Cricetulus griseus: one gene and its partners. The protein of the gene in region 1 purifies or fractionates together with the protein of each later gene. This does not show direct contact. Links are inferred from orthologs where the notes say so. Each region holds a gene or a part of one and is shown on either strand. Other genes may lie near its edges. The genes, in order: Cd44, Fgfr1 and Erbb2.

Region 1 (4,365 bases):
CAGCTGCCAGAGTCCCCAGCACATCAGCTCATCACTACTTTGGAAGGAAGTAGATGTCCTATGTGAGCAGGGGAATAACAGAATGAATCAAGTCTAACTTCAGTGGGGATGGATCTCACGTCCTTATTTCTTCACATGGGAAGACTCAGCCAGGACCCTAACTGCTAATGGAAAGAAGTATCCAGAATGCTCTGAGTGAGCAGAGAGACACCTTCGGCTCCCGAGCCCCAAGATTCTCAAATGCACCCCTCTTTCTCAACAATGGAAATGCAATTTCCTAGCAATGTTCTCTGGCCATGGAGGAAAGGACATGAGCACATGGAGGCTCATTCCCTTCTGTCCAGGGTCCCTTTCTCCTGCATTGCACAGAGTACCTAGGGTCGCTGGGCTACCTCAGAACATGTTTCTACTTTTTGACTTCTGATATAACACTGGACAGTTTCTTCTGTCACTCCGCCCCTGCCCAGCAAAACTTTTGCCCAATCTCATAGCTTCTTCATCTCCTAAAACCAGTCACTACCAGAATGGGGCAACTCGGATGCCTCTCTTCTCTGCCCCGCCCTTTCTCCTCAGGCTCTGCCCACCCAGACCCACATCCTCTAAGTCACATCTCATTTCCGAGTCTCGGTTCCTTTGCAACAGTTTTACAAGGGCATGAAAACCAGGCAGGCACTACTAGGGGCCCTCTGCCCTGCCTCTCCTGGTGCCACAAGATACAACAGGAAGGTGAAAACCCCAAGGCAGGAGAGAGCTTGCTGGTCTCTAGGACCTGACTCCCAGGGAGCACAAGGGATCCAAAAGACCTGGGAGTAGGCTTTTTTGAACAGCCGGAAGACAATCTAGGAAAACACAGAAGCTCAGCTTCTCAGCCACAGCAAAAGGTGTGGATGTCCAACCTTTCTCCTCTCCTTGGACTCTAGGTCCAGGCCTCTCCCTGCCCTTCTCCCACCCATCCTGACTGTTTCTGACCTCCAAGGGCCCCTTGGAGCTCTGATTCCCTTTGAAAGCTTCCTCTGTAGCTTTAGCGGGCCAGAATGCCTCTTTCCCTGAAGTCTTTTGGCTTTGTCCGGAACATGTGTTCAGATATTCCATGACAGTCTAAGCTATGGAATTTAATGAACCTGAGTTCATACCCAGCACCACTCCTTGCTGTGTGAATATGAGGAGTTACCTAACCTCTCTGAGCCTGTTTCCCTACCAAAAAAGCAAACAAACAAAGAAACAAAAAACTTGATACCTGAACACTTCTCACCAAATCACCAGGAGGATAAAATGTGATAGCATATGTGAAATACCTAACATCGATCCTGGCACAGCAAAAGGGTACAAATAAACGGCCAATAGAGTCATGTTGCTATTCTTCTTATTATTTGTATTACTTCTGCATCAGAATTCAAAACTTATGATCTCTACCTGGCATACCTAAAATCCCCATGTTGGCCACCCCCTCCCAAAAAAAAACCTGGGTTTAATAAATTCTTGCTGAGAGGAACTCACTGTAGGCTGAGCTGACTTAACCTAGCTGACACTTCTTTAAAAAAAAATTAACTGTGCTGGTGCTAAACAAAGGGTTCATGGAATTATCTGTTCATATATAGACAAAGGAAGGGAATGCTTGGAATTGAGCCATACTGAACACCTGACCCCAGCTCCTCCCCTCCACAGCCACCAAAGTCACCAACTTCATTTAGATGGGATGTTAAGGTCTCTGCACTAAAGTTCGTGTGTTACCCTGATACAGGTCCCCTCTTACTCTGAAGCTGCCAGGCATCGAATATGAGCCGTGTTGCTTTTTGATTTTGCCAAGACTGGCAGAACCAGGGGACCATAGCGTTAGACAGCTGGTCAAATCATTGCTTCTGTTATGTGCCCTCCTTGGCCCAGGCTGGAACCTCTTGGGCTCTCAGAGCCTGAACACAGCGCCGGTTCAAGTTCCCACAAACTAAAGCAGTTGGTGACCAAAGCAGACTGTAAAAGCCCTCAAAATCAATCTAAGCCGAGGTTCTCTGTCTTTAGTTTTCTGGGGCTCCTTTCTGAAAAGCTCATTGCAGGCTCTCTGACTTACAACTCTGTGGCCACCTTAAGGACTACTCTAGAGATCTCCGCTACTGCTCTGCCCCAGTCCCTGGCTCTGCCCTGTCACCCACGACAAGCCTGGCCCTGCTTGCGGAGCCCTTGGGCACCCGAGCCTGTTAGTCCGGACACCGGCTGCGTGTCCAAGAGTACAGTTACTTTTGCGCCATGTGCTCCGGCAAGCGCCAGCGACCTCGCCCAAAATCTGCGGCGGGCAACCTGCCCAGCCAACTTTCTTCTCCCTTTCTCTTTTCCTTTCACCAAAGCGGCGCATCCCAAGAAGCAACCCTCAAAAACTGTGTAGCCTCAAAACCCAGCTTTGCTTTGCTGAGCCCACTTCACTTTATTTCCTCCCCGGGGGTCAGCCCAGGGGCCGTTCTGCTGGAGTGAGCACTCTGCGTTCACATCCCCGCTGCCCAGGCTAGGGCCACTCACCGATCTGCTGTTGCGCCAGGCTCAGCGGCAAGAGGCAGAGTCCCCAAGCTGCGTGCCACCAAAACTTGTCCATGGTGTGCGGGATAGAACCCAGGAATCTAGTCGCCTCTTAAAGAGGGTCGCAGGGAGCTGGGGCAAGGAGGATGGATGGAACCTGTCACAGGCTGGGGGCCGCTAGGCAATGAGGCCGCCTCGGAAGTTGGCTGCCGTTTTTATTCCAGGCTTTGAAAGAGTGACCTAAGAGGGAGGGAGCGCGCGAAGGACACACCCAAAGCGAGGGGGCTGTGACTAGGCAGCCAACGGAGGTTTAAAGATACACCAGTCTGCTTTCGCTGCTGACTCGGAGACCCTGCCCTACTCTCCCGGGCAGCTGAGAATTGCTGCCGCCCCTGTCTGCCCACCTCCCACCCCCAGGCCACTCCACAGGTTTCCTTCTCTGGCCAGCCCTCCTGCCTTTGGGGATCATTGCCTGGGGCAAGGAGAATGACTGAGTCCTGTGACCTCACCCCTCTGAGTTCAGCCTCAGGTCTCTCCTTTGCCGCTAAACTTCTGGGAACCTGGCTGGAGAATGACTGTCTAGGTTTCCCAGGAAGCTGGATGTCTCCTAGGGAGGAGCTGAGACAAGAGGGAGACCCTGCTGGGAGAGAGGACAGTGCCTTCCAAGCCAGGGTGGATTTGAAAAGTGGGGAATTTGTGGGAGTGCCCACTCGTCTTTCCCTCTGAGAGAAGTTCAAAATTCTCAGTGGCTCTTTGCTCAGGGAAACCTAGCGATGACCAGTTATGGGGATCATATCTGACCCCTTGGGGGTCATATTGGACTCTACAAGTCCATGCTGACAACCTCCCATGCCAGGAGGCTGTCTGTCCTTCCACCCACCCACAAACACACTTCATTCATGATCTCAAATTAACTAATTAACCTACCAGTTCCTTAAATCCTTCTGGGATTCCCCCATTCCCCTGTCTTCCTTCATATGCACTAACCTAGTCATACCCCATCCATCACCAAGCCTTCCATTTATCTATAGCACAACTTTTCATCCAGCATCCCATAAATCCCAAGCTCACCTCCCTCCGCCGTCTTCCCCACCCATCCCCCAACATGCTGATGCTTGTACACGGTCCCGTTCCATCATTTTGTCCAGCTTCATATCCACTTACACATTTGTCACTTCTTTCTTGTTTGCATTTATGCCCTCTTTGCTGCAAACTTTAATACACTGCCATTTATTTCTTCCCTGAGAAATCTCAAAGAGGGGTGCGCATTGCCATATCCTTCAAGGGAAATATTTCAGGGCTTTTCGAAAGCAGGGGGAAATCGTATTTTAAATCACAATTCCCTATCTTCTCTAATACCCTGTGAGTCACAATTAGGACATCAAAAGCAGTGTTTATTTTTAATGTGAACTACTGAAAGTGAATCTGAAGTGAACATCTTTGCTGAATGAGATGCATGGAAAACATGCCTGTGGCAGGACCCTGAAAAAATCATAGCAGAATTTCTGAGGGAAAGTAATATTTTGGGATTCATTGAAATAAACTGAAAAGGTGAGAGAAATGCACCCAGCCACCTGTCCATCCATTTATTCATAAAACATGTAATGAGTGCCCAAGGGTATCAAGATAAGCCAAACCTTGTTTGTCTCCAGGCACTGGTTTACAGTCACAAGCCAGCTGCTGCTTACAATATGAAATGTACTGTAAAATAGAGGCAGGCCTGGAAAGATGGCTCAGTGGTAAAGTGCTTACCACCAAGCATGTGACCCAAGTTCAATCCTTGGAACTCACATGGTGACTCATGCAAATAGTCCTCTACCCTTTACATGCATGCCATGGCATAAATCTATACACACTCAC
Region 2 (3,732 bases), on another chromosome or scaffold:
ATTTCTCCCCCACACTGCTGCTTGCAGGGCCGGCTGCCTGTGAAGTGGATGGCACCCGAGGCCTTGTTTGACCGGATCTACACCCACCAGAGTGACGTGTGAGTTTGAAATACACAATTACCCGGGATATGCTGGGGAAAGAATACTAGCAGTCTTGCATCTCTAGACTGCTGAGAATTTCTTTCCATCATTGGGTGGGGAAGGGCAATGTCTTGTCCCGTGAACATGTTTCAGCCTTTTTTTTGCATTGCCCCTTGCTGCCCCCTTGTCTCCTGTGCCCTGTCTCCTGAACTTAAGGGCTGTGCTGGGGGTGGAGAGGTTCAAGATGAGCACCTGCCCTGCTGACTTCTCAAGAGGACATAGAAAAGAAACCCTAGGGCAGCCTGGCCCTGTGCCGTAAGTCACAGTGGCACCATGTTCTCCTGTAGGTGGTCTTTTGGGGTGCTCTTGTGGGAGATCTTCACTCTGGGTGGCTCCCCATACCCTGGTGTGCCTGTGGAAGAGCTCTTCAAGCTGCTGAAGGAGGGTCATCGGATGGACAAGCCCACTAACTGTACCAATGAGCTGTAAGCATGAATTGGGGGAAAGACTGTGGGGGAAGGCCTGCTGGTAGTTGGCACCATTGAATCCACCGCTGGCAAGCTGGGTCATATGTTGAGGAAATCAGGAAGGGCTCCTTAGGTGGCGGCTCATGGGAGGTTCTTGAAGTCCTCGGGCTCTGAAGGAAGTGGGAGCATGGAGGGCAGATAATGAAACTGTGTGTTTGGAGGGAGCAGCCTCCCGAGTCATGCCGCCCCTGCCCTCTGGCCCAGCTCTGCTGTTGCCTTCCATCTTTGACCTCACTGTCCTGCTTCAGGTACATGATGATGCGGGACTGCTGGCACGCAGTACCCTCTCAGAGGCCCACTTTCAAGCAGCTGGTGGAAGACCTGGACCGCATTGTGGCCTTGACCTCCAACCAGGTAGAGCTACTCTGGGCTGAAACTTGAGCGGTCATCACATAGGCACTAAGGGGACCCTGCCATAAGAAGGTTTGTGTGCCATCTATCCTTTCCTTCTGTCACAGGAATATCTGGACCTGTCGATGCCTCTGGACCAGTACTCTCCCAGCTTTCCCGACACACGGAGCTCTACCTGCTCTTCAGGGGAGGACTCTGTCTTCTCTCATGAGCCGTTGCCTGAGGAACCCTGTCTGCCCCGACACCCGACCCAGCTTGCCAATGGTGGACTCAAAAGACGCTGACTTCCCCGGCCTTTCCCCAATTTCGTCGTCACCTGTGCCCCTCACCCGTAATTCCCTGCGGGACACACTGCCTTTCCCCTTCTCCTTTGCTGCTGGCAAGAGCCAGTGTGTACCTGAGGCCTTCCTGTGAGGCCTACCCCATCGTCACTCCCCACCCCGCCCCAGATCCCTCTTCCTCTTCTCAACCGGCCATGTGAGAAGGGAGTCAAGAGGCAGGTACTTGCTGGTAGCCACTTCCTCCTTCCCAGGTGTTGGACCAAGACCCATCCTGCTGCCTGGTACTCCTTGGAGGCCTGGGGAGTAGAAGCAAGTGGAACAGGTGTGCAAGCAAGAGCTCTCTGGAGTGTTCTGGTTGACTCATTGGCCTCCTGTGTTCTGGTGGCAGCAGCCTTGTGGCTACTGAAGCAATGGGGTTTGTTTCTGTTCGGGCCTTAACTGAAGGCAGTCTCTGCTTCAGATGGGGGGTATCAGTGGCTTCTTAATTCCAATACTAATTTGCTTTGCTGACCAAATACCTGGTACCAGAAGAGAGTGAGGCAGAGATCGGGGGCAGCGATGTGGCCCTGGGGCTGAGCCCTAGACTCGGGGCTCTGTACATAGCTATGAAGAAAACACAAAGTGTATAAATCTGAGTATATATTTACATGTCTTTTTAAAAGGGCCGTTACTAGAGATTTACCCGTTGGGTGAGATGCTCCTGGTGGCTGGGAGGCATCCATTGCTATATATTAAAAACAAAAACAAAAACAAAAAAAAAAAAAGGAAAATGTTTTTTAAAAGGTCATATATTTTTTGCTACTTTTGCTGTTTTATTTTTTTAAATTATGTTTTAGACCTATTTTCAGTTTAGGTCCCTCAATAAAAATTGCTGCTGCTTCATTTTTATCCTGGGCGTGTGAAAAGGGAGCAGATGTCCCCTGCAAAAGAGGGAGACAGGGACTAAGGGGCCATGAGCTGTTGGCACTGTGTGATTTCTATATTTCCCTGACCTCCCAGACCCTTCTATCTCTGATGATTTGGGAAAGACAGGGAAAGAAGACCAAAGTAACGGAGGGCAGAGAACCAAGACTAAGAGCTTGTTCCCTCTGATCATAGATTGTTTCCTCAGAGGAGATGAGACTAGCCAACGGTAGAACAAACCATACAGAGACTCAAAGCCCAAACCCTGTGTGGGTGCGCCTTTGCATCTATGAGAGATGCAAAGCTAGTCTTGTCTTAACCAACCTACTCTCCATTTCCTTTCCCATTCCTATCCTGCCCTTCCTGAGTCCTGTTACCAGGTTGCATTTGTTGTGACTATCCCTGATCTTGGTTTGTAGTTTTTCCTGTACAAACTCCACCCACCCCTCAGGAAAGGAAAAACAATCTTCTTTGGTTTGGGTCTGCTTGGAGACTTACTCCTGCCACCTGCTGGTGGTTATTGTCCTCTTCAGGAGGCACCTTATCATCTTACTCAGACCAGCGCCGCTCTATTCTTAGTGCTTACTGCTGGGTCACTGGGGAATACAAGACAATTCAATATGGCCTCATCCTGCAGGGGTTAGGGCTGCCTCTTTAAATACATTCTGAACGGGGTGTTTTTGGTGGCTGTGGTTTTGGTCATCATCATAGAGTTGTTATCATTGTTTCCCTCTGTAAACCTGTAACTATCAAAGTATTACAAGTGTTTTCTTGTGCTGAAAGGTATAATTCGGCGAAGAGGACCAGGGAATGAATTTTAGCTCAGAATCATCTGCTTAGAGACCATATCATAGTGTCGTTTTCCTTGTTAAAACAGTGACCATAATTTCTGCCTCAGCGCTGCTTGACTCAATGCTGTGTGGATGGATGGGAGGAGAATCTACGGAGTGCTTTGTATGACTCAAGGAAAGGTGCTAGGGTATATAAGGCACTGAAGTCCTTGCTGTTGCTATTCAAATTGCCCACAAATATCCCCTGAGGCAGGGATGGCTATCAAATAAAACATAGTGAAATTGACCTGAAAGAAAATGAAATGGCTATTTTACTTAGGTGACCAGATTGAGTCTCTTGGGAAAGGGAATCCAGCTTATATAATGAAGATGTGCTGTCAAAGTACTGCATCTGTCTGGTTTCCTGGGGGTTAAAATATGGCCAAGGCATCAATCAATACTGCCTTTCAATCCTTTCTAATTGCCAGAGGCTAGAGATCATCAGTCCCTTGGCTCTGTTAATGTAATATATTGATTTCAGGTAAGTAAGATTGAGCATAGATGAAGTAAGAAATGTGCCTTAATGGTAATGAAGTCTGTCTATCAGCTGCCACCGGGTGGAGCCAGCAACCTAAAATCCCCCCACCATATTAGGTAGTGGGCCACTTTGCTCTGAAGTAACAGACCTACCTTCCATTTGGAATCCTTGGCCTGGATTTAGTATTCTAAAACTCTGGACGTGACCAATATGGCTTGTGCAGAATTAGACCTGTTACAAGTGCTGGGTGATACTATTAAATAAAATGCCACCAACAACTA
Region 3 (3,643 bases), on another chromosome or scaffold:
AAGGCAAAAGCGTCTTTGACAACCCCATTCTTCCCAGGAGAGAGAGTCTTGGGTCTTTCTAGAGTAGCACCAGAAGGCCGCACAGGAGGCAGAGGGCCCTCGGGGGCCAAGGGAGGCTGAGGCCGCACCTCTGGCTGGTTCACATATTCTGCAGGAGAGAAGAAGAACTGTTAGGGAAAGGAAACGGGATTTCCCTGCCCCACCATTACCTCTCAGTGGGTGTAGCCTGAGGGGTCTCAACTCCCCTCCTCCCAGTCTCTCAGGCCTGGATTCCATACCGGGCTGGGGGCTGCAGGCCAGGGGAGCAACGTAGCCGTCAGTCTCGGTGGGCGGGGGTAACGTGGGATCCTCGCTGTACCGCTGTAGAGGGCTGAGGTCATGTGGAGAGATGCTCTGCGGCCCTTTGCTAACCCCCATTCCCAGTTCACCATCAAACACATCGGAGCCAGCCCCTTCCGAGGGAGCCAGTGGAGACCTGGGGGGCTCTTCTTCTGAGGGCTCCAGGCCCAGTGTCAGCTCGCCTCCTCCACTCTGGAGTAAGAGAGGGTCATGATGGAAGTTACTCAAAGATCTGGGAGGGGACCTTGGGGGGGAAATGACAGGGTCCCAGGAGGAAAAACACAGGTCACCTTGGAATCATTATGGAGGCAATGGAGTCCCAAGGGTTGGAAGGCAGTAATGGTAATGGGATCTTAAGGAAGTGTGAATGTGGGGGAGCAGTCAAGGGAAGGGACCCTGGTGTTCTAAGATGGGCACTGACCCTGGTGGATGAGCTGCGGTGCCTCCGGTGGGCTGTGCTCCCGGTGCCTGGGGCAGGGTCTGGGCAGAAGAACCCCTGCTGGGGGACCAGATACTCTTCCGCATCCACCAGGTCCCCCATGTCCTCATCCTCCAGCAGTGAACGGTAAAAGGTACTGTCCAAGGGGCTGGACGGGCCCAAGTCCTCATTCTAGGGAGGAAGGAGACACAAAGTGACAGCCCTTCCCCAGCCTAGCGTTAGTTCCCAAGAAAGGTTCACCAAGCTTAGACTAAAGGTGGGGGCTGGCTGGGCTGGGGGACTTGGCATCCAGGTGTGCCCTCCCTCTCCTGTCTGCAGGAGGGAGGACACTGTTAGGGTAGGGATGAGGTCAGAAGGCCCAGTACCTGGATGACCACAAAGCGCTGGGGGTCCCTCGCCATGCGGGAGAATTCTGACACCAACTCCCGGAATCTCGGGCGACATTCAGAATCTATCATCCAACCTACGGTGAGAGAGAGCTCAGCATCCTTGTCCCAGGACCAGGCTCAGGACCAGCTGTGCAGCCCCTTCCTGCTCCTCTTCAGTCTGGCCTAGACAACCCTGGCTGAGCCCAAAGTCCTCACATAGCAGAGGAGCACAAGTGGACCCTGGATCCTGAGCCAGAGCCCTGGAGCATTTTTCCTAGTTTCCCCTTTAAGCTGGCCTCTCTCCTCTAGACAGCCGTTGTCCCGAGCAGCTAGGACATCTACTGTGAATGGGATGAAGCACCTTTCGAGGTTCCTTCAAGGACACCCGAGGCCATTCACATCTCACTCCCGCCCCCCCCACACACAGGTCAGACCACCCTTCCGCTACACCTGAGGTTCGGCCCCTCCCACCACGCACATTTGACCATAATCATGTAGACATCGATAGTGCAGATTGGAGGCTGAGGCAAGCGTTCTCCCTTCTCCAGCAAGTCAGGTATCTCCCGGGCTGGGATCCCATCATAAGGTTTGGCCCCAAAAGTCATCAGCTCCCACACAGTCACACCTAAGACAGACAGGCATCAGGAGTTGGGGGAACAGGATCCTTAGATGCGCATACAAGGGGAGAGGCTGTGCCAAAAGGTAGCATCGGCCTGGTCGCTTCATACTCCAGGTGGGCACAGACCCCCACAGGCTGGACATCAGCCACCCCCCATCTCCACCCTCATTTCTGTACCCATATCCCACCCTGCCATGGCTTCTATCCAGCCCTCCCCATCACCATCTCCACACACCATAGCTCCACACGTCACTCTGATGGGTGAACCGCCGTCGAAGAATGGATTCCAATGCCATCCATTTGATGGGCACCTGGGAACGCAGAGCAAAAAATCCTGAATGGGTGTGGTAGGGAGGTGACCCTTCTCAAAGCTCTCCCAATGGGCGGATACCACCCCACCCACCTCACCCCAACCCCGCCCTCCTCCAACCTTGCCCCCATCTGCATGGTACTCTGTCTCATCAATGTCCAGCAGCCGTGCCAGCCCGAAGTCTGTAATCTTGACGTGGTTGGGACTCTTGACCAGCACATTCCGGGCAGCCAGGTCCCTGTGCACGAGCCGTACATCCTCCAGGTAGCTCATCCCCTGAAAAATGGGCATCAGTGTGGAACCTGAGTCTGTATCTCACCTTATCGGCATTCCCCATCCTTTTCTGGCCCCAAATGAGGGTAGGGACTTGCACCCAAAGGACCTGCAGAGTCAGAAGCCCCCAAGCACATACCTTGGCAATCTGAACACACCAGTTGAGCAGGTCCTGGGAGCCCAGGCGACCTCGATGTTCTCGGACATGGTCCAGAAGGCAGCCATAGGGCATGAGCTGTGTTACCAGCTGCACTGTGGATGTCAGGCAGATGCCCAGGAGGCGGGACACATACGGAGAACCCACACCAGCCATCACATATGCTTCCTGCAGGCAAGCATACACTGAGGGATACAGGAAACCACCTACTCCCTCCCACCCACCATACTCCCCTCCTGGAGACCCGCCCCCATCCCTGCAGGGCCTGCAGACCAGGAAGAGTAAGAATCAAGGTTTAGGACCTCCATCCCAAACCCTCATCAAGAGAAGGCAGCCCAGGTCTACAGCTAGGGGGCGTCTCACAAGTCCCAGTGGAGAAGGTGACCGGCTTACATCTAGGATTTCTTTGTTAGCTTTAGGGGATGTGTTTTCCCTCAACACCTTGATGGCCACGGGGATTTTCACATTCTCCCCATCTGGGATCCAGATGCCCTGAGCAGAAAGAAATGGGCTTGAATCAGGCCTGTGGTCCAGATCCTGCTGGTCCCCAAGAAGTCACTGATGAGCAGCCTTCCCCACCCTCCAGCCTGGTCCAGTCCTCTGTCTTGACCATGCTCCTCAGGCACAGCCCCTCCTCCAGATCCACTCATGCCAGAGCCTGGTCCCTCCTGACCTTGTAGACAGTGCCGAAAGCTCCGGACCCAAGCACCTTCACCTTCCTTAGCTCAGTCTCTTTTAGGATCCGCATCTGAGCCTGGTTGGGCATGGCTCCGCTGGGCGTCAGCGGCTCCACTAGCTGGAGTGAGAGGGTGGCGTGGTGAGTGCCAAGCAAGCTACAGATGGGGGGTGCGGCGCTAGGAGGCCCTCACGGCACCTCACCTCAGTTTCCTGCAGCAGCCTACGCATTGTATACTTTCGGATCTTCTGCCGTCTTCTCTTGATTAGGATTCCAACAACCACCCCTATGACCAGGAACAACAGGATACCCACCACGGTTGCGATGATGGACGTCGCTGGGCTGAAAGCAGAGCCCAGAATCAGAGATTAGGACTAGTCTCGGGAGGAAATTTGAAGAGACCCCATGAAGGGACAGGAATGTGCCTTGGCTCAAAAATATCATGGGAAGTCGGGCAAGGTG

Evidence for each region.
Region 2: the proteins of Cd44 (region 1) and Fgfr1 purify together in Homo sapiens (affinity purification with mass spectrometry; 3 studies listed by BioGRID and IntAct, counting the BioPlex papers as one, with this or other methods). This does not show direct contact. The link is inferred for Cricetulus griseus from reciprocal best matches to the Homo sapiens genes CD44 and FGFR1.
Region 3: the proteins of Cd44 (region 1) and Erbb2 purify together in Homo sapiens (affinity purification with western blotting; 3 studies listed by BioGRID and IntAct, with this or other methods). This does not show direct contact. The link is inferred for Cricetulus griseus from reciprocal best matches to the Homo sapiens genes CD44 and ERBB2.

What each region holds. Positions count from the first base shown.
Region 1 is NC_048599.1:74,762,632-74,766,996, reverse strand, and holds the start of Cd44 (CD44 antigen), read right to left. Parts: upstream 2,817-4,365; 5' UTR 2,582-2,816; coding exon 2,509-2,581; intron 1-2,508. UniProt on the Homo sapiens protein: Cell-surface receptor that plays a role in cell-cell interactions, cell adhesion and migration, helping them to sense and respond to changes in the tissue microenvironment.
Region 2 is NW_023276807.1:58,202,616-58,206,347, reverse strand, and holds the end of Fgfr1 (fibroblast growth factor receptor 1), read left to right. Parts: intron 1-27; coding exon 28-98; intron 99-428; coding exon 429-566; intron 567-856; coding exon 857-962; intron 963-1,066; coding exon 1,067-1,243; 3' UTR 1,244-3,220; downstream 3,221-3,732. UniProt on the Homo sapiens protein: Tyrosine-protein kinase that acts as a cell-surface receptor for fibroblast growth factors and plays an essential role in the regulation of embryonic development, cell proliferation, differentiation and migration.
Region 3 is NC_048600.1:111,557,469-111,561,111, reverse strand, and holds part of Erbb2 (receptor tyrosine-protein kinase erbB-2), read right to left. Parts: intron 3,524-3,643; coding exon 3,385-3,523; intron 3,302-3,384; coding exon 3,179-3,301; intron 2,998-3,178; coding exon 2,899-2,997; intron 2,674-2,898; coding exon 2,488-2,673; intron 2,352-2,487; coding exon 2,196-2,351; intron 2,077-2,195; coding exon 2,001-2,076; intron 1,772-2,000; coding exon 1,625-1,771; intron 1,242-1,624; coding exon 1,144-1,241; intron 950-1,143; coding exon 761-949; intron 532-760; coding exon 279-531; intron 149-278; coding exon 1-148. UniProt on the Homo sapiens protein: Protein tyrosine kinase that is part of several cell surface receptor complexes, but that apparently needs a coreceptor for ligand binding. Essential component of a neuregulin-receptor complex, although neuregulins do not interact with it alone.